Lonchura striata: one gene and its partner. The protein of the gene in region 2 purifies or fractionates together with the protein of the main gene of each other region. This does not show direct contact. Links are inferred from orthologs where the notes say so. Each region holds a gene or a part of one and is shown on either strand. Other genes may lie near its edges.

What was found. Proteins that work in one complex are often made in the same cells at the same time.
Region 1: the proteins of PPP4R2 (region 2) and TIPRL purify together in Homo sapiens (affinity purification with mass spectrometry; 5 studies listed by BioGRID and IntAct, counting the BioPlex papers as one, with this or other methods). This does not show direct contact. The link is inferred for Lonchura striata from reciprocal best matches to the Homo sapiens genes PPP4R2 and TIPRL.

Annotation. Positions count from the first base shown.
Region 1 is NC_134604.1:23,234,596-23,244,453, forward strand, and holds the start of TIPRL (TIP41-like protein), read left to right. Parts: upstream 1-5,778; 5' UTR 5,779-5,903; coding exon 5,904-6,004; intron 6,005-8,373; coding exon 8,374-8,553; intron 8,554-9,365; coding exon 9,366-9,465; intron 9,466-9,858. Other genes in the region: GPR161 (G-protein coupled receptor 161), read right to left, coding at 297-1,021, 1,545-1,912. UniProt on the Homo sapiens protein: May be a allosteric regulator of serine/threonine-protein phosphatase 2A (PP2A). Isoform 1 inhibits catalytic activity of the PP2A(D) core complex in vitro. The PP2A(C):TIPRL complex does not show phosphatase activity.
Region 2 is NC_134614.1:20,819,061-20,828,977, reverse strand, and holds the start of PPP4R2 (serine/threonine-protein phosphatase 4 regulatory subunit 2), read right to left. Parts: upstream 4,048-9,917; 5' UTR 3,904-4,047; coding exon 3,870-3,903; intron 3,173-3,869; coding exon 3,091-3,172; intron 1-3,090. Other genes in the region: GXYLT2 (glucoside xylosyltransferase 2), read right to left, coding at 9,449-9,556. UniProt on the Homo sapiens protein: Regulatory subunit of serine/threonine-protein phosphatase 4 (PP4). May regulate the activity of PPP4C at centrosomal microtubule organizing centers.

The DNA.
Region 1 (9,858 bases), on a different chromosome or scaffold from region 2:
AAATGGAAGGCACTCAAAAGGAAATGCTTGAGAAAGAAGAAAATAAATTATCTTTATTAACCTCATCGCTATGTCTTCTCTGCCTAAGGAAGTTTTACTATAGTAGGAGAATGATATTAACTATAAAAAAAGAGAAAAATTCTCCTTTCAAATGTAACCTGACTGATAAAAGACTGCTGAAAATTCCAGAAACATCCAACTCTCTTTACAGAGCCCTGAAACATGCCAAACACAGGCAGACAGGAAGCCTTGCTCTTGGTGGTATTAAAGAAGTGTCTTTTGCAGCCACATCTCACCTGTGATCCTGTTAGAAATGCTGAAGAGCCTCGATGTCCTGTGCTGCTGAACAAAGGACTTGCGGTAATACCGATCCCCAAAGCACATTCCCAGGAGCTCCTTGCGCACTGTCTTGTTCCACAGCCCATAAATTAGCGGATGGCAAATGGCACTGGAAAAGGACAGCCATGTAGCCAATGTCTCCAAAGCAGGGGAAATACTGTTTTTACCCCAAAGTGCCTCTGATGTTATTACTACCATGTAAGGTCCCCACGTAACAACGAAAGCCCCGATGACAACCAAGATGGTTATGAAAGCTTTGCACTGGTTGGCTGAGTAAACAACCCCTTGGAAAGTGTTCCTTCGGCTGCCAGAGGAGGACGTGGAGGTGCTGGAGTTCTTCCTCCCATTCTTCTGCGAGTCCTCCTCTGCAATGACAACACTCCCACAGTGTATTTTGCGGGCCTTAATCCTGGCCACACGGAATATGAATCCGTAGCAGATCATCATGACTATGAATGGCAGCAGCGCGCACCAGATCTGCCAAAAGGCCGTGTAGGCAGCCTCCTTGTGCCAGGCTGCCACACACATCCACTTGAATTGGTCAAATTCCAAAGAGGACCAGCCAAAAAGGGGAGGGAGGCAGCCAATAAGGGAATGCAGCCACACGTACACAAGAGCTACCACTGCTCTGTTGCCCGTTATCTTCATCGGATAAACCATCGGGTACAGCACAGCATAGTACCTGTGGGGCAAGAAAAGAAGTAGACCACAGGAGCATAAAAGACATGCAATAAAGAAAAGAACATGCTTTAATGATGCTGGTATCTAGTTCTTTTTTCTTCGAACAGGCTTAGAAGCCCTGTTTCTAGAAATAGTTACATATAAAAGTAGGTATCACTGCAGTCAAGACTGTCAAACTTGGCTGAAGGGACACAGGCAACCATGAAATCTGTACCTATGTGTGATTGTATGTTTAGGGTATAATCTGGAATTTTAAGTCACTATTTCATGTTTGTTAAATAGTGTGTTATTATACCATCAAAAGCTTTAAAAAACTCTAGACGAATGTCTGCATTTTCCAGTATTGATGAAATCACGTTCTCTTGCTCCACATTAAAATTTCATGAGGAGCTGAAGTAAAAATGACACTCTGGCAGTACACCATGTAACCCTCTGCAGTGCTTCTCAACTCTGTGAACAAGCCATGGTTCCTCTATGAGAGGAGCAGGCAATTTGTTACAATGCATTACTGAAGAGCAGCTTACCGGTCTATAGCTATGAGTCCCAGAGTGAGCATGCTGGCTGAGCTGATCAGCATGTAGAGCAGGGCTGAGAAATTGCACCAAACAACGCCAAAGATCCATTCTCGCCTGATGGAGCTGGTCACGACAAAAGGCAGCACCAGCACGGAGAGTAGAAAGTTGGAGAGGGTCAGGCTGAACACAAACTTGTTGCTCAAGGTGAGAAGGTATGACTTGCGATACAGAGTGACAACAATCACCAGGTTGCCCAAACAGATGAAGATGGCAATGACAATTATAGCAATGGATTCAGTGACTCTGACTGCCCCGTCTTCCTCCGTGGTCAGGTTCCTCAGGCCCTTCCCATTGCTGAGGGAGGAATTGCTGCTCATGGTCAGAGCATGCAGACCTGGAGCAGCCAAGACATGCTGAGCAGCTAGAAGCAGAACAACGCTCAGAAACATTCAGGTAATAGCTCTTCAAACTCCTTCCCAAGACTGGAGGCCCTTTTGCCTGTGTTAAAATTTACCTGTAGTATGCAGGAAATTGCATATTTTATATGGGCAAGTGAAGGGGCAGTAAATTGCCTGTGAGCACACCAAAGAGGACAACACCAAGCCTGGAACAGGGAAGACAAGAAGAGATAAGGGGGGAAAATAAGAAAGAAAATACAGATTTTCTACAGATTTTCTACAGACCTTACTTGTTTCTAAGTCCTACTTACTAGCCCTTTCATCTAGGCTGTGAAAAAACAAGAATGTAATTTATTTCTTCAAGAAACAAGATAAATATCAAATATCTTTTTTTCTCTTACTTTAAAGAAAGTTCTTAGAAAATTCTGCCTATCCTGATAGTTACTTTGTATTCTGCCTATACAGCATTTGCTAGTGGTCTATGGATGCCTGGCTAGTCATACCCTGCTGACTCTTAACAGTTGCTAAGTAACATTCAAAGACTCAGGGACCACTGCATGTACTCTCCTTACATCTATTATGTGTGTTCACAATCAACTTAGCTATGCTGCTGATTGTATTTTACTGCCAACACCAAAGGATTGGAGGAATTGGCTTTCTGTACATGAGGTCTGAAAGACACTTCCTTGCATTAAGATAAGGTCCATGCTATAGAAATGCTTTAGAACCTTTAAACCTTGACTTCTCAGTGTTAGCATCCATCCCATTGATTCACAGCCTCATTTTATGAAACCTTGTTATTTCTTCCAATTCCTTAGCAATTCCTCTTTTCCCTGCTGCCTCTAAATGGTACTCACTAACTACTTTGTTCAGTGCTTCACCCATCTGCAGGACGGCATAAGAACTAAGAAAGAAACAAAAAATTCAAATACACAGACCAAAAAAAGTAAAAGAGTCCACCAATGAATATAAAGTTGATTTTAGCATTTCTAGGAAGTAAGGGCCTCAGGAAAGTTATCTTAGCTAATTCTGCAACTGTGCCAAACATGGGTCCCAGACAGTACTCACAGAAATGCTTCCATCTGCATGGCTGCTGTGGAATTACGCAGGGCTGTCAGTGTGGAAAGACGCCTTTTTTCCATTTTTATCTGTACTTTCCTAGGAACATAACACATTACTTGGCCATGCACTGAAAAAATGTAATATAGCTGTTCCCTAGCCTCTGACTGAGGATGTGTGCAAAAAACACTTCCCCTTGAGTTTCTTTCTGTCTCAGCATGCCTGTACCACCTCTGTGTGCCCTTCCAACACTTTTTGGCCGGAGCGGGTTTTGGAAAGGCGGCTTCCCCCGCAGCCGCTCCCTGCGATAGCGATAGCCGGGGCACCTGGCGCTTCCCCTCACGGCCCTGCTGCACCCTGAGGGGGAAAGCGACCTCTGGCCCCTCCCGGGCCAGGGCTGCCCGTGGCGGGGATAGCATCCGCATCCTATCCCGGCCGCGGGCAGCGCAGTCAGGCTTCCCGCACACCCACGAAGCGGGTGGGACTGAGTTGTAAATACGGTGGGGAAGGGGGGTTTCGCCATTTTGCACAAGCGCTCCCTCCGGCAGCGAACAAAGGGCTGGAATAGGTCGTCCGCCCCGGGCATCCATCGCCTCCCCCTCACCCGCCGGCGGAGAGCGGGTCCCGCCGCCTCTGTCTCCTCCCCGGCTCCGCACTCACCGTCCGCCGCCGCCAAAGCGGGACGTTCCTGGCTGAAGCACCCAGGACCCCCGACACCGAGCGTCCCCCGCCATGGGCACGGCCCCGGCCCGTGCCTGCCCCTCCCGCCGTCCCGCCCCGCCGCCTCAGCCCGCCGCGCCCCCTCCCCGCCCGCCATGTTCCCCCTGCCGCCCTGGGTCGGTCCGCGCGTCCCGGGAACTCGGTTAAAAGGCAGGGGGAAAGTACTTCACACGGATGAGGTAAAGTCATTTGCCCCGATTTGTAGTGCCATGCAGCTTTAGAGTCTAAGTGGTATACTTCCGAGACCCCAAAACACTATTAAAAGTAACAAAAAGAAGATTTGGGGAAGAGTTGTTCCCGCACGCACCTCTGAAGCAAGATATCGGATATAGGTTCAGTATACAGGGCACAATATAAAGGGTGAACAAAAATTAAATACCGTGCTTGTGTCTTCCTAGTTCCTGCCTTTCCTGGCAATGCCCTTGAGTGCAGAGGGTGACTGCCCTGATGTGAGCTGTGCTGGGTTTTGATTGCTCTGTGGAGTTTTTAATGTTGTGGACATCAGTTTCCTATGGCTGTTGCCTCAGTTCACTCCAATGCTCCAACAGCAGGAGCTGGACGGTGTGTCTTGCTCCTGTGCCAGGGGAAGGCTATAGGGAGTTAGTCTGCCCTTTCAATGATGCAGAAAAGCAAGACAACCACCCACCCATCAGTGCTGGAATATTAAGGTGATCTATAATTTTCAACCAGTTCTACTGATACTTTTCTACAGGACTTTTTTAAACTTACCACATCATTGCACTTCGACATTTTAAAAAGACCATCTTTGGACAGCATTCAAAAATGTATCAATCCAGCACAAGAGATTTCACAACCAGCAAAAACTGATGCACAGTTGTGCCTGAATGTGAGGAAGAACTTATTTCCTGTGCAAGTGACTGTGCACTTGTTGCCTAGAGAGGTTGTGGAGTCTCCCTCACTGAAGATACTCCAGACCTGTCTAGGCACAATAACATGCCATGTGCTCTGGGATCACCCTGCTTGAACAGGGAAGTTGAACCACATGATCCACTGTGCCCCATTCTAACCTTGCTCAGATGTGATTCTGTGTGCACACATATGTGTGTACTAACACAGCACAGGGCACCTGTGTGATGGAGCCACGTAATGCTTGCTGCAACTGTAAGTGTGGCCATGGAGATGGCCCAGGGCCACCAGAGGCTCCAGAGCTCCCCAAAACTGCTTGTACCCAGCCGTCCCACTCCTCTCAGCAAAGTACCCATGGGGAAGTGGCTGGAGGCACAAGCACTTGTAAGGCACACAAAATTCTCAGCTGGCTTCTGCAGTCCAGCTTCACTGGAACAGAGGCTTGGGTGAGTTTGCTGGCTCTTCATCCTGAGCAGGGGAGATTAAAGAGCCTACTCTCGCTACGGAAGCTCCAGCAGCACAGAGAAGTGTGGACCCCCTTTCTCACCCACCTGCCCCTCACATCACCTCCCAGAGTCACAGCCTGGGTAGGTTGGAAAGGGACACAACGGGTCATCTGATCTGACCACCCTGCTCAAGCAGGGTCATCTCAGAGCTCATGGCACAGGGTTGTGTCTCGATAGGTCTGGAATATCGCCAGTGGTGGAGGCATCACAACCTCTCTGGACAACCAGTTCCAGTGCTCGGTCACCTGCACAGTAAAGAATTTCTTCCTCATGCTCAGCTGGAATTTCTGTGCATCAGTTTCTGCCTGTTGCCTCTTGTCCCACCACGGAGAAGAGTCTGGATCCATACTCTTGGAATCCCCTCTTTAGATATGTGTACACATTGATGAGTGCCTCTCTCGGCCAGCGATTCTCGAGGCTGAACAGGCCCAGCTTCCTCAGCCCTTCCACCTAACGGAGATCAGTCGCTTTATCATTTTCGCTGCCCTCCGCTGGACCCCCTCCAGAAGCTCCATGTCTCTCCTGTCCTGGAGAGAAAATGCAGATGTGGGCTCACTAGAGCTGAGCAGAAGGGCAGGATTCTCTACGTCGCCCTGCTGGCAGCGCTCTTCCCGATGCCTCCCAGGATTCCTCCACAACCGCCGCCGGGGCTCCGCGCCGCGCGGCCCTGGAAGCGGAAATGCTGCGGGGCGGCGGTTCCGGGGCCGCGACGCTGCCGTGAGTGCCGTGCGGGAGGAGACGGGAGGAGAGGGGCTCCTCCGCTCCGCCTCTCCGCCCCTGCCGCCTGCTGCCTTCTGCTCGGCGGAGAGGAGGCCGCCATGCACCCCGTTTTCCAGAGCAGCCGGCGCGACTTCACCTTCGGGCCGTGGAAGCTGAGCGCCGCCCGAACGCACATCATGAAGTCGGCGCAGGCCGAGAGGTGAGGCGGGCTCCGGGCCGGGGACGCAGGGGGACACAGCACAGCACGGTGTCCCCGCTGCTCGGGGAGCCCCCGCTGCTCGGGGCTGCGGCCTCGGCCGTCACAGCGAGGGGCTGGGGTTGTCGGGTGGCCTTGCAAAGGAAACACCGAGCGTTCCCAGGGCGGGGGAGACCCTGTTCGGCCCCCGGGGTTGTTCCTTCTCTTCAAGCTTGATTCTCTGGCTGGAGAATTTTGGGTTACAGGTGATTTCCAAAATTTTGTTTTAATGATTGGAGAAGTCAGCCTACAAGAAGACGAAGAGGGACGTTTTACAAGGGCAGGTAGTACGAGGACAAGGGAGAATGGATTCGAACTGAAAGAGAGGAGATTTAGATTGGACCCTAAGAAAGAAATTCCTGATTGTGATGGTGGTGAGTCACTGGAACAGAGTGCCCAGAGAAGTTGTAAATGCCCCATCCCTGGAGATGTTCCAGGCCAAGTTGGATGGACCTTTGGGCAGCGTGGTCCAGTGGAGGTGTCATTGCCCATTGCAGAGGGGTTGGAACTTGACCTTTAAGGTTTTTTTCCAACTCAAACAATTCTGATTGTATTATTATAATGGTTTTGGATCCAAATCTCTGTGAACTGAGACCCACTAATTAGAAGGCTAATTGTCTTAATTACTTTTGAAAAGGAATATTTTTAATGTCATATGTCTTGGTAATAGCTATTTTTAAATAGTGGTTTTCATTAAAAATTTATAATTTGCTCTCTTCCTGTAGGAATTTCCAATCCAGTGAAATAATTGGAGGAAATGTTCCTGTACCAGCATTAAGTACTTAAGTCAGATTTGCTAATGTGGAACTGGAGAGTTCAGCTGTGCCATAACTGACCTTAATGGCAGATGGATTTGGCAGATATTTCTTAGTTTCATTTTCTGGAATAAATTTCAGTGTACATGAGAATCTCATTAGTCTTGTTAAATGTACTTTCATTTATCTTGCTTTTACCTTTTCTGAGGCTAATAAGGCATTCTCTGGGAGGAACTGGCTGCTGATGGCTGGGATGTGTGCACTGTTTGCTGGGTAAAACATTGGATGGCTGAGCTCAAAGAGTGATGGTGAATGGGACTTACATCCTTCTGGTGACCCATCAACAATGGTGTTCCCCAGGGCTCAGGGGCCAGTCCTGTTCAATATCTTTATTGATAGTCTGGACAAGGTGATAGAGTGCACCCTCGGTAGGTTCACAGATGACCCCAAGCTGGGTGGAAGTGTTGATTTGCTGAAGGGTAGGAAGGCTCAACAGAAGGATCTGGGCAGGCTGAATCAATGAGCTGAGGCCAGCCACATTGTAGGAGGTGCAACAAGGTCACAGCGACCCATTTTGTCTATTTTATTGCTTGGAGGACATTATTAGTATCCATAGGAATTTTATTTCTGGCAAATAGATATTGTAAAAATTCCTCAGCAACCTGTGTGGAAAGGTGAAGGATTAAATGTGCCATAGCCAAGAACTCTCTTCTATGCAGGGGTTGGTTTTTGCAGGGAAAGGGTTCTTACACTTGATGAAATGGAAAGGTTTCATTGTCTTCTTTGGCAAAAATGTAGAATCTTAATTCTCCAGGTCTGTGAATTTACTGGTTTTATTTTAGTTAAGTTAATACTGTTCTTTTGTATTCAGGGTTACAGAAATAACCATTTTTGTTCAGGAATGCCTTGTTATCAATGTGAACATTATGATTAGGACACTCTTCTCCCTCCCCTCACTCAAATAAGTGTATTTCCTAAAGCTTTCTTCTCTCCAGATGTCATGTATTCCTTTTTGATTTTGGGAAGTCAGGTAGGTAAGGAGGAAAAGAAGTGTGAATTTCTAAAGAATTTTAGGAAGTGTGCCAGTACATGTCTTCTACCAGCAGAGCACAGTAGTGTCTTCTGCACTTTTTAGATACTCTGCCAAGGTTGTCATAAGCATCTTTTTTGTAGGGTTCTAAATTTGGAAGTATGGACCACTGTGCAGTGAATTCAATCTTCCTCATGATAAGTCCTTGTTCCTAAAAGTTGCTTTGAGCACCTACTGAAGTTGGTCCACTGCCCATCCAGGGGTTTGCTAGGACAGATGGAAAATTGCTTCTACATGCTTCTCACATACTCTTGATTCCTCATGTGTTAGAATTTTGTCTGAGCCTGATGGTGTAGGAATGTTTTAGGAGTACTTCTTTTGGTGAAAAAGTCACTTCAGATCAATGACTCTGCATTTCAGGTGAAATTATTAACCTGGTGATGTATCTTCTAAGTTATCATGGTCTAAAGAATCCTTCTTCCAAAACAAGAACTGCTTTAATTGAGCTGTGGTCAGCTGACTGATACCTCTTTTATTTTTCTCTGCAGGTTGGCTGATGAATTACACATGCCTTCCCTGCCAGAGATGATGTTTGGAGACAATGTCTTAAGAATACAGCATGACCATGGCTTTGGAATTGAGTTCAATGCTACAGATGCTTTAAAATGTGTCAATAATTGTCAAGGTATGATCAAAGTCGCTTGTGCAGCGGAGTGGCAAGAGAGCAGGTACAGTAATTTTATCACCAGAGGGGAAGTACTGGTGTGTTATATATGAAACTGTTATACAGTAGTTAAAGGAACAAACTGAACTCTTGACCACATTGCATTTGGTTGTACCCTAGATACAGCATGTAATCACAGAAGTCACTTTTCTTTGCTGTGATCATCCTTTCTGTTAAATTGGGCCAGCTATATTTTTCAGCTGTGTCATATCTTTCTTAAAGTAAATGTCAAGTTTAATGACTTAATGCTGTTTCTGTTTATTCAAACTCATAGAGCCTTGAGCATTACAAGACTGTATTGTGTGGTGTTGCAAAGTGCTGTACGTGTTCAAAATCTTAGCCTTAGGAATAAAGCAGAACAGTCACCATGCATGAGAACTAATTATGATGCTTAGTATTTACCAAATTTGATTTAGTTGTAGAGCATCTGGAATAAAGCCCAGAAACAAAGCAAAGTTATCATGAAAACTAAGGCAAATTGCAATTTTAATGATTGCTGTGTGTTGTCAAGAGATCACTTTCTGCCTACTTAAAGAAATACTGATCTTGAAATACAAATTTCTCAGCAATGTTGCATGAGAATCTTTATTTTGAGTCATAGAATGGAGATAGATGGAGAATTCTGATAATTGTTTTCAAAGTTATTATGGAAACAGATGTGAAACCATGATTAAGTCTTGACGTGATTGCAGCTCAGACAATGCTGCTGTTTTTCTTTAGGAGCAGTGTGGGAATTCTAATGCACAGTCTTAAGTGAGGTTGTAATTTTTTGAGAAAAGCAATTACTACAAAGCTGTTTTCTCTTTCACTGTTGAGGAGTGAGGCTGAGCACAGTAAGGAAGTTGTCAGGCCATATGACTGGACTTACACAACGGATTACAAAGGAACTTTGCTGGGAGATACTGCAACATTAAAGGTAATAATTTCCTTCTTGTTAATTGCTGACTGCATCTTGCTTCAGTCAAGCTTTTTTTTTAAAAAGCTGTCATTTACCTTTCAGTAGGCTTCTGTAAAACCTTTTGTGCTTTGCAATTTCTGATTTCAAAGTGTAATTTGGGCTTCTTATGTCTTTCAGCTCATGATTTTATTGTAATCAAATCATGGCTTATTTTAATAACGAGGGTGGGTGGTGTCCTAAAGCATTTTAGGATTAAAGCACATCAGAGGCTTCAGCTCTTGCTGGGGTCCGCTCTGGAGCCCCTCACTGCTCATGTACAGCAGAACTATCAGCTGTGTCATTCTGTAGTGCCTTCGTGCTCTGCTGCTTGCATGTTTTATCTGCTTTCTGACCTGGCTGCATTCAATGACC
Region 2 (9,917 bases):
ACGTTACGCCTCTGAAAAGAAAAAAAACCCTAAGATTCAAGACAACTTCAAAAAGGTTGAAAAACAAACTTTATATTGTATTTCACCTAAGGCTAAGTCTTACCTTGGCAACTGTTAAGAAACAAAAATATTTCATAGTAGCCAAGCAATAAGACTTTTGCTTCTGTCACCTCTAATAAAGGAAGTTTAGACTGGCTTCTGTAGATGTAGGCTATAATCTCAACAGCAATTAAGTGAATGGTTAACTTTGCACAAGAGGAAAACTTCAACTTCAAAAAGATGAAGTGAATGTACATCATTGTATGATCAGAATTTTACTGCACAGTAGTGATAACACATCTAAGCTTACAGTGATAATAGAACCAAAATTAGCAATGTTTTTGTTCCACACCTCCCTTGTAAGTGAAAAAGACCTCTAATTATAATAAAGATACTAGGAGCCTTGTCATGGCTGCACTGGTGGCTTTAGCACCTCACCCTCCGTTCCTGCCCTTCACCACTTCTCCAGCTTGGCAGTACCAGTCACCGGGACAGAACACGTGGATCAGTGAACCCAACCTCGTCCTAAGGAGTCAGGACTGTGAGAAGCTCCTGCCCCAGGTTCCTGTGGAGTTGCAGAAGCAGCTCGACAGCCCAAGTGAAACAGTGACCCACGGGCAGCACCAGCCAAGGCTTCTGCCAGAGAAATCCCAGGAAGATCAGAGCCTCACCTAAACCTGCACCTACCTGTTCCCAGCTCCCTCAGATGAATAAGCACTTTGCAACAAGTGGGGGCAGGGAGGCACCCAACGATCTCACCTGAGCCTGTGCTTTCCATCTGTTGGGTGAGCTGAGTGATCAAGCTTTGAGGAGAACCTAAAATGTCACTTTAATTTACTTCATTACTACCTTTTCAAACTAATTTTACTGAGTCACCAAAATCTGCTGCAACTGCGTCTGGAAACGTATGGAGGATGAGAGCATTCACCCCAGGATAGAGACTGCAGTTTATCTTCTAAAAATCAGCATTTGTGATGAAATTAAAAAGCTGACAGAACTCCTATGAAGACCATGTAACTCTCCTAGAACTAACAACTGAACACAAAAATATTTCACATTTCACTTGTCCTGATTTGCCTCAGTACTTTTTGTTTGTTACATTAGGAACAGGCTGTGACTGAGTAAGATCATTGTTCAATAATCAAGTCTGCAAACCATGGGTGTAATTACCCCTGACTAAACCATCATCCCTGCTTGTTTTGTTTTTTTTAACTATACTCTGACTTTGTAAAAATCCTAACAAATGTCACTACAAACGAGTATTTTATTTTCTCACTCCAAAGTATCTATTTATTACTGGCTTAGATTCTATTCAACAAAGTTGTTTTTACATAAGTCAAAATAAAGATTATCTAGTGCATTTTAAATTTGCATGTATTTGGTAGGTTTGCCTATTCCAGAACACTTGTACTTGTCAAGCTGTACCAGCTTAAAAATACATTAAGCTCTTAAAAGGCACGTTAGTAATCTTCATATGAGTGATTTCCAGGAGATTTTAATTTTTACTCACTTTTCCCCCTGATATTGTGATACATAACACATCAGTCTGATGAACACATGTCTGATGACCAAATACTGACTCTGGCAGATAATCTGAAGCAAATACAGTATTATAAAACAGTATTTCCATGCCTATCTCCAGATTATATTAGGCATTTCTGATGTTCACATCCAACACCTTTTAAAAAAACTATATAAAAAAAAAAAATTGCAAGAAAACCCTGGAAACACAGAAGGCAGGATCTGTATATCAGATTACAGACTCCAGCTGAGGTTTAAGTTTGTAAAAATAAAATAAAAATAATAAAAATAAACCTAGATTTCCTAAATGAAAATAAAATCAGAAAGGATACAATTTTCCCAATAATTTGGCCCTATAGAATCACTTTTTAAAAAATACTTTGGAATATACATGATAATGGCAGAAACAGTAAAAACAACCTGAAGAAATACCTCAGAATGGGAAAAAATATTTTAAACATATTTTAGTATGGGCTTACTGTGGTGTATTTTTTCTGTATAATAAGTACTACACCAAAACATGAAGCATTACAGCTGTGTATGTCTGCTGAGCATGAGCCTTCTATTCAAAGAGCAAAGTACATTTCAGAACTTGTTTTTCTTTCTAAACCATTAATCCAAGCAGCACTAGCAAGCTACCAAAAAAAAAAAAATCACCAGAACCTCTAATAAGTTGGCGGGACTCTCGAAACTCAAACAAAGCCCCTGCGGGTCGGTGGTTGATCACAAAACACTCGTAAAAGCATATCTCCCTGCTGGAGCCGTAGTCTGGCACTAGGCCTCAAAAACAAGGAGACAGCCCGGGCGCCAGAAAGTGAGCACGAATCCGGCAGCGCAGCCGGGAAGCCTTTCCCCTTCCTGCCAGATAGTGAGCCGCAAGGAAGTCACCAGCAGCGAGCCCCGCAAGGAGCGCGGCTCCCTCCGCTGCCTCCCGGGAAAGCTCCGGGAAAGCGGCCGCAAAGGGCGGCACGAGGGAAATTCCCTCCGCACCAGGGAAAAACACGGCGCTCCCCGCGGTTCCCACACATCCCCGTCCGCAAAAGCGCCTCCGGATCGTCCCCGCTTCAGCAGCAGCGCCCAGACAGTCACAGGATGGTTACAGAGCCCAGAAAGAAACAATGTGAGCGACTGCAATCTTTATGTAAATAACACAATGTAGATACTGCAAACACAGTTATACAACAGTGTATAGAAAACATTGCAACAGCAGCTTAACTTGTAACATACAAAACCTGAATCTCTCTCAAAAATCCAGGGAAAGCAACAGGTTTTTTATTGTGCTGAGTAGGATCAGTAAGACCTGACAGGCACATCAGAGCAAAGCCTATACGAGAAGTCTCCCCTCGTTAGATCAAACTATCAGCAAACTAAATTAATCAATACAAAATTAAATGGGAACTGAGGAAAGCTTATTTAGCCCACTGAAGCAACCTACAGGCAAAAAAAAGAATCCTGGTAGAATCTCAATGACGTAAAATGCAAGAATTGTTTTAAGTCACGACTGAGGACCACCAAAACAGTCACACTTACATCGTCTCTCCAGTCTTAGCAACATGACAAAGAAACTGATCCAGTATTGGACACACTTCCTTCTTTCCTCTCTTCTCAAAATCTGTTGGCATGAGAACGACACAAAAAGAATGGTAAATGAAGATGGGACAGAACAAAAATTCACAATAATTAGCGATTTGCTTGAACTATCAGTACAGCTCCCACAAAAACACTGTTGTGCTCTCACAATGCCCCGGCTGTTCCCATGAACTCCACCAGCTCCTCAGCCCTGGGAAACACTTATTATTTTTCCTGCGGAGAAACCGCACGCAGCAGAGTAGCAAAAGTTGATTTGCAACTTCTTCCGAGCAGCTACGGCACAGAAAGAGAGCGATTTGCTCAAGCTGAGCCCAGAAGAGAGAGGGCTGCGGAGGGAGAAGGGGACAGGTCCGGGCTGGGCCGGGATGCGGGGGAAGGGGCCGGGATGCGGGGGAAGGGGCAGGAATGAGGGAGAAGGGGCGGCCGGACCGGGGTGTCCAGGGCGGCAGCCGGGCAGAGCCGAGAGTCGCTGATCCCCCTCACGCAGCCCCGAGGGTCGCTGGGCAGGGAGACCGCGGGCTCTGCCCTCCACTTCCCCACGACTCCTGGCCTCTCCCCACTCTGCGGGACCCCTCACAGCGAGCAGCTCCCTCCCCACAGCGCGGGGACCCTTCGCCCTCAGCGAGGGGCGCTCCCCCCACAGGCTCTGAGGAACCTCAGCCTTCCCCTCAGCGCGGCGACACCGCTCCCCCAGCCCCCGCCACCAGCCTGGCCGCCACCTTTCAGCGCCTCCTGCAGCCTCTCGACGTCCATGGTCCGCCCGGGCGATTCCCCCGCGGCTCGGCGCGGCTCCCCCGCCCCAGTCCCGCGCAGACCGGGTCGCGCTCTCAGCAGCACCCCGCGCTCAGCGACGCTCCAACATGGCGCCCGCGCCGTGCCCGTGCGCGGCCCCGCGGCCCCGCCCGCCGGGGGCGGAGCCAATGGGCGGAGACAATGGGCGGAGCCTCGGGGCGGAGCCAATGGGCGGGGCGCGTGGGCGGGGCGGGGCCAATGGGCGGGGCCGGCGGCCGTGAGGGAGCGGCGGGAACGGCGGCGGGAAAAGCGGCGGGAAGGGCTCGGGCGGGCTGAGGGCGGCTCGCGGCTGGCTTGCCGGCCGCGGGTGATCGTCCTCCTCATGCCGGCCCTGCCCTGCGGATCCTCGCGGCAGGCCACGCGGAGCCGTTTCCCCTTCACGCGCCGGCCCCTCAGAGAGCTCTCGTGCTTTCCTCCTCGCTTTCTGACTGAGGGTGACCGCGCTCCTCCTGCCCTCCCCAAGTCCCTGTTTGTGCAAGGACGTGCCTTTTTAACCTCAAGGAGATCACAGAAGATCCCCAGTTGGAACGGGTCCACCATGCAGTGCAGCTCCTGGCCGCGCACACACCCCAACAATCCCACCCTGAGCATTGTCCAAGCGCTCCTGGAGCTCTGGAAGCCTTGGGGCTGGGACCATGCCCTGGGGAGCCTGGGCAGTGCCCCACCACAGTCTTGGGACACGAATCTTTTCTTAATATCCCACCCAAACCTCCCCGACAGCTTCATGCCATTCCCTCGAGTCTTGTCACTGGTCACGAGAGTGAAGAAAGAGATGGGGACCGGTCCCCTCTGCTCCCAAACACGAGGATGTTGCACATCCCAGTGAGGTCTCCGCTCACTCTCCTCCTTCCCACATATTCCCTGTGCTCCTGGGGATGGATGATCCCCTCGCCCATCCTGTGCCAGCTCTTGGCTCTGAGGATGCAAAGCCCTGGCAGAGGAAAGAGCTGTCACTCCTTCTGGCAAAGAGCAGATAAAAGGTTCTATCCCAACCCCTCTACTACCTAGGAAAGAGTTCAGCTCACAGCAAATGACATTTTCCTTCCATTTTCAAAGCTGAAACATTTAAAAGTAATCCTAGGACACAAAAAGCTTGTAGGTAGTTTCATCATCGGTTTGTTGTGTGATCTCAGGCAAACGGGTGAGGCAATCACACCTGAGCTTCTTCATTAATGAAACAAATTATAATTACTCCTTGTAAGGTATTTGACACACCTTGTAATAAAAATGTACACAAAGAGGATGATTTCATTTTGTGTCAGTTCCCAGCCTGTTTGTGGAGTATTCACTGAGACCCAAGAATAAGAATAATAACCTTGTTGGGGAAGATGTGGTGGTTTAAACATCTAGGTAAAGACAATGAGAAGCTGTTTTACAATCCAGGTTGTTTTTTTTGGTTTTTTTGTTTGTTTCTTCCACTGAATTTACACTAAGCCTCATTAAGATTTATGCTTCAGATTTAAAAACATACTTTTTGAGAGTTATAGGCTGTTCAACCCTTGGGCATGAATCAATAATTAAAATTATTTGTGGTGTAAGACCAGCAGCTACTTCTGCTCTGAGTAATGAAGCTTAGATTAGGTATCTAGAGATCCCTGACCCGACTTGACTTAAAGCAGTTTCCCTTCACTGAAGTGTGACAGCAATTTGTAAGGTATTTCCACCCAGTTTGAACCAAAATTGATTGCTGTGCTTTGAAACAATCTGTAGCAATTCAATTCAGCATTCAAGCAAGGGAGATGCAGCAGAATCCACTGAGAACAATAAGAAAATGACAACAATATTATATTTCAAGACCCACTTAGGTCTTCAGAAAATATTGTACATCAATACACATCAAAGGGAGCATAGAGGTTTTGTTTGGTTTGTTTAAATTTATAGCTGCAGAACATGAGTATGGTACAATAACTTGACACTAAAAATCATGGATCTCTGAAACATCCAGAGAAGGAAAGTTTTGGGTTTTTTTCTTTAAAGTATATCACAGCCACCTCGAGACAAATTATGTTTCTCCTCTGAGACAATGACTAAACATCTTTATTGTGCTTTTAAAAAATCAGAAGACTTGGGAGTATCAAAAGATGAGAACAGCTCACACAGAGTGCTTTAAAAAAAGAGGCTGAAAAGAGAAAAATGGTATTTGTGGGAGTTGTTTCTTTGAAAGATTACCCAGAGGAGACACAAATACCCAAGGAATAGTCAGATGTGACAAACATTCCAGGCTTTACCTGGCTCAGCCACTGGTCCCAGCAGGACCCCAGGGATTGTCTCCTATTAATCCAAGAGCCTGTGGCAAACTGGCTGGCCAAGTTTTCTTTCCAAGCTGTATTTCACCCCCTCCTCCCAGGATATCCCTGGGACAGGAGATTCCTGACATCACGCCACAAACTTTGGGATCAGTCAGACTAAAACCAGCCTTGTTTTCGCACCTGGAGCCTCAGGTGTGAGGAACCACGGTGCCCTTTGGAAGTGCTGAGCAGAATGGGAAGGAGATCTTTCCCTGAAGGTGTGAACCCCAAGAAGGTGTGAACCTGTTGTGCACAGTTCTAACCCTCACAAGAGGGAATTAACATTTTCAGGGGGATTCGGAAGAGATGCTTCTACAAGAACAGGTCTTTAAAATAAAGAGCCATGTCATTTCTGTGCCATTATTTCAGTATTAATTACCAATTAATACTGAAAGAATTAATACAAATTAATACTGAAATTACTACACTTTTGGGCTATAGTGCAGTTTTCACAAAGTAACAGCAACAATTAAGGTACGTTTACAGAAATGTGAAAGTCAAACCAAAATATTTCACCTCAAAACAAAACATTAACAAAGTGCTTTGTTCTTCTTCCATGCTGATTCTCAATTTGGTGTTTTGTCTCCATTTTCATTTCAAAGGAAGTGTTGACAGTTTGGTTTTTATTCTGATCCAGAATGAAAGCAAAACTTCCAAACATCACTCTTTCTTTTGAAGCTCAGATAACAATTCCTTATCTCGTGCCAGCGGGAGGTGCAGGCTGATCCCAGCACTTGTCCCAAGAGCAGTGGGGAATGTTTCCCTGAAGGGACTATCCTGGTGACTGCCCCATCCCATCTCACCTCTGGAGGGTGCTCACTCTTTATTTACCACCATCACATTTTATTGTACCTGATGGAGAGGAGAAAAGGATTCTCTGACAGTTGAGAAAGTGTCAAGATTTATTTCTTTCAGTTAGTTGTACTTTATTCCCAGCTTGGGAAATCTCTCTTCTCCCCACAGCAATACTGGCTGGAGCCAACTTTGCCAAGTGAAAAAGCCTGGATCTGAGCAGTGTGACTGTGAGTGTGTAACACTCCCCACACACCCAGAGCCTTCCCAGAACCCACACAAGGCTGGTGTTTTACAGCTGGCCCACCTCTGCCCATCCATTCTTGATTTCAGAGAGCTGAGCCCAACACAGCACCCAGCTGGGACCAGTGTCAGCAGCAGGATTTGGGAACAGACAGCCCAGGAGCTTCTGTCACACAGGGGTGTCACAAGCAAGGGCAGCACAGCAGTGACCATACAAGAACGTCAAAAAAATGCATACAAGAAGGGAAGGGAAATGATACTAAATTACCTCCAAGGAGTGAAACATTATGGAGAAACAGTAAAGAGTAAAAGATAAAACTCCAGTTTCCTCTGAGAGAAGTATGCTGATCTGATCTATGCTCGCTGTAACACAGCTGGAGCTGCAGCATGACACACGAGCACTTTGGGGAAAGTTAAATGCATTTGTCTCTTTATATCCAATATCAGACTCTCTCACTACAGTAAAACTGTAAAAGAGCAACATTTATCTGTGTTCCCTGCTGTCAAACCCAGTATACACACACTAAAACATCACACCTACAAAACTCTACCCCAACCAGACCAGCACAAAATCTTGCATTTAAAAGAAAACTAGCAAATTATAGAGCTTGCTTAAAATTTCATTTATTTGTACTGTAAGCCAAGGGATCATCCTCAACTCAGAAATGCACTGCTCAGCCTCCTTGGGAGCTGTAACAATCAGTGCACTTGTCAAAGAAAAGTCCACAAGCAATTCAGTGACAGAGAAAAGGGACATTTTTTACAGACATGCTTGTGCTGTGCGCACACACACACACACTGAGCAGTTTCCAGTTTCCCCTGTAAGCAAAATGCTGGTGAGCTCTATCCATTATACCATTGGAAATAACTAAAACACAGGAGAGGAAGGGGAAATGAGGACATAAAGTCTTTGTAAGTATTTACACATCCCATTATTAAGATAAATGAAAGCTAATTAACAAGGAATTAGCCACAAGTATGAAGTACAAAATGAATTAAGATTGGTTTCTAAGTAAGATGAATATTACAATCAACTACTGTTAAAAATAAAATATAACATGGTTTTGGAAGCTGTAGTGAAATATAAATTAATAATTTGAACGACAACAAAAAACAAAGTTATGTAATTGTTTTTAAACACTTTGGAGAGCTCAAATTATTGGTTTTTTTTTCCCTCAGAAAAAGCCCAGCAGGGGGGCTCCTCCCCCATTCTTCCTGCCAGCTGATATTACATTAACAAGAGTCTTCATGTTAAAGCAAGTACTTCATATATTTAATAGCTGTTGAAAACACAACTCAGTTCTTCCTAAACAAAATGTAGCACCTCCTGTGAACATGAAAAGCATTGCTTTAATCTCTTATCAGTTCATATGCAATGCCTTTGTTTTATAATGAATTCCACTCCTTCATTTGAATGTGCCCGTAGTTGCAGGGTTCTGCTGAATCACAGCTTACACAACCACAGCCTCTGAAACTCCAGAGCCTCAGCACTGGGGCTGCAGCTGTCTGGGCAGCAAGACTTTGCTCTGCAGCTGTTTGTACCTTGGAGACACCACAGAAATCAGGAATTTGGCCTGCCCAGCATGCAGCTCCACCAGCTTCGTTAGACCTGTGTCAGCATTACCCTGTCATTTGAAAATAAAGACCAAAAGCAAGCTAATACTTTATACAAGCTCTCAGAATTGCAGGCCTAAAGGTTTACCTTCATGCATTATTTTAAACTTTTTAAATCAGCAGCTTTACCTTTTCTCTGCCTTCTGGTTCTGAAATCTTCAACACTCACTTGGGTTACATTTCAAACTTCTCTCAGAAGGTAGAAATGTACAGGTGAAGTTTCAGTTGGCAATTTTTACACATTTTTCTATTTCAGCTGAAATAGAAAATCCTAAGGCAAGTTGGGAAGGCATCTCTGTTCAAGTTTAAGTGATTTTCTGGGTCCCAGGCTTTCAATCACAACAGTCAAGCTGCCTCTGTCCTTCACTCAATTTACACTCAGGTGGCAAACACTGTGAGATAAGGGCTGGAGTCAGAATATGTTGTTTAACCAAACTGTGATTATGATTTGCAGCAGAGGTGCAAACAAAGTTTCTGTTAGACTGTGAGGTCCTGCAGTTCTGCTGTCCCTTACTCCAAGCCTGTCCCACTGCTCCTCTGCTCTCTGCCAGGCTGTGTCACAGACACTCTCACACTCCAGGGCTTGGGAAAAGCCTGCTGGAACTCCATCCCGTGCACAGGCTCTTGTCTGGCAGCCTGGGATGGCACCAATGTCGTGTTTCCCCTCCTCTCAGGAACTGCCACACAAGGAAAGCGAAATGTGTGAGATAAAAGGGAGACTCCTGGTGTTTTCTTATCCCTGCATTAGTCCTGACTCAATAGGGGAGAATGCCCAAAACTGCAATGGCTCAGAAATCCTGTTTTAACTATGGGAACATATCCTTTCCCTCATCCACAGTCCCCAAGCATTTCTCTCTAACAAATAAATGTATGATACATGTACAGGGTGTCCTGTCTGTGCCAGTTTTCCTTTCATTAAGGGAAGGCTCCATTATCTCACCCTGCTCCTACTTTGCCTGTTAGATACGAAAATGAGCAGATCCGAGTAATAGCTGATGTCTTCTGCTCAACAGACTTGCAAAGTAACATCATGTTCTC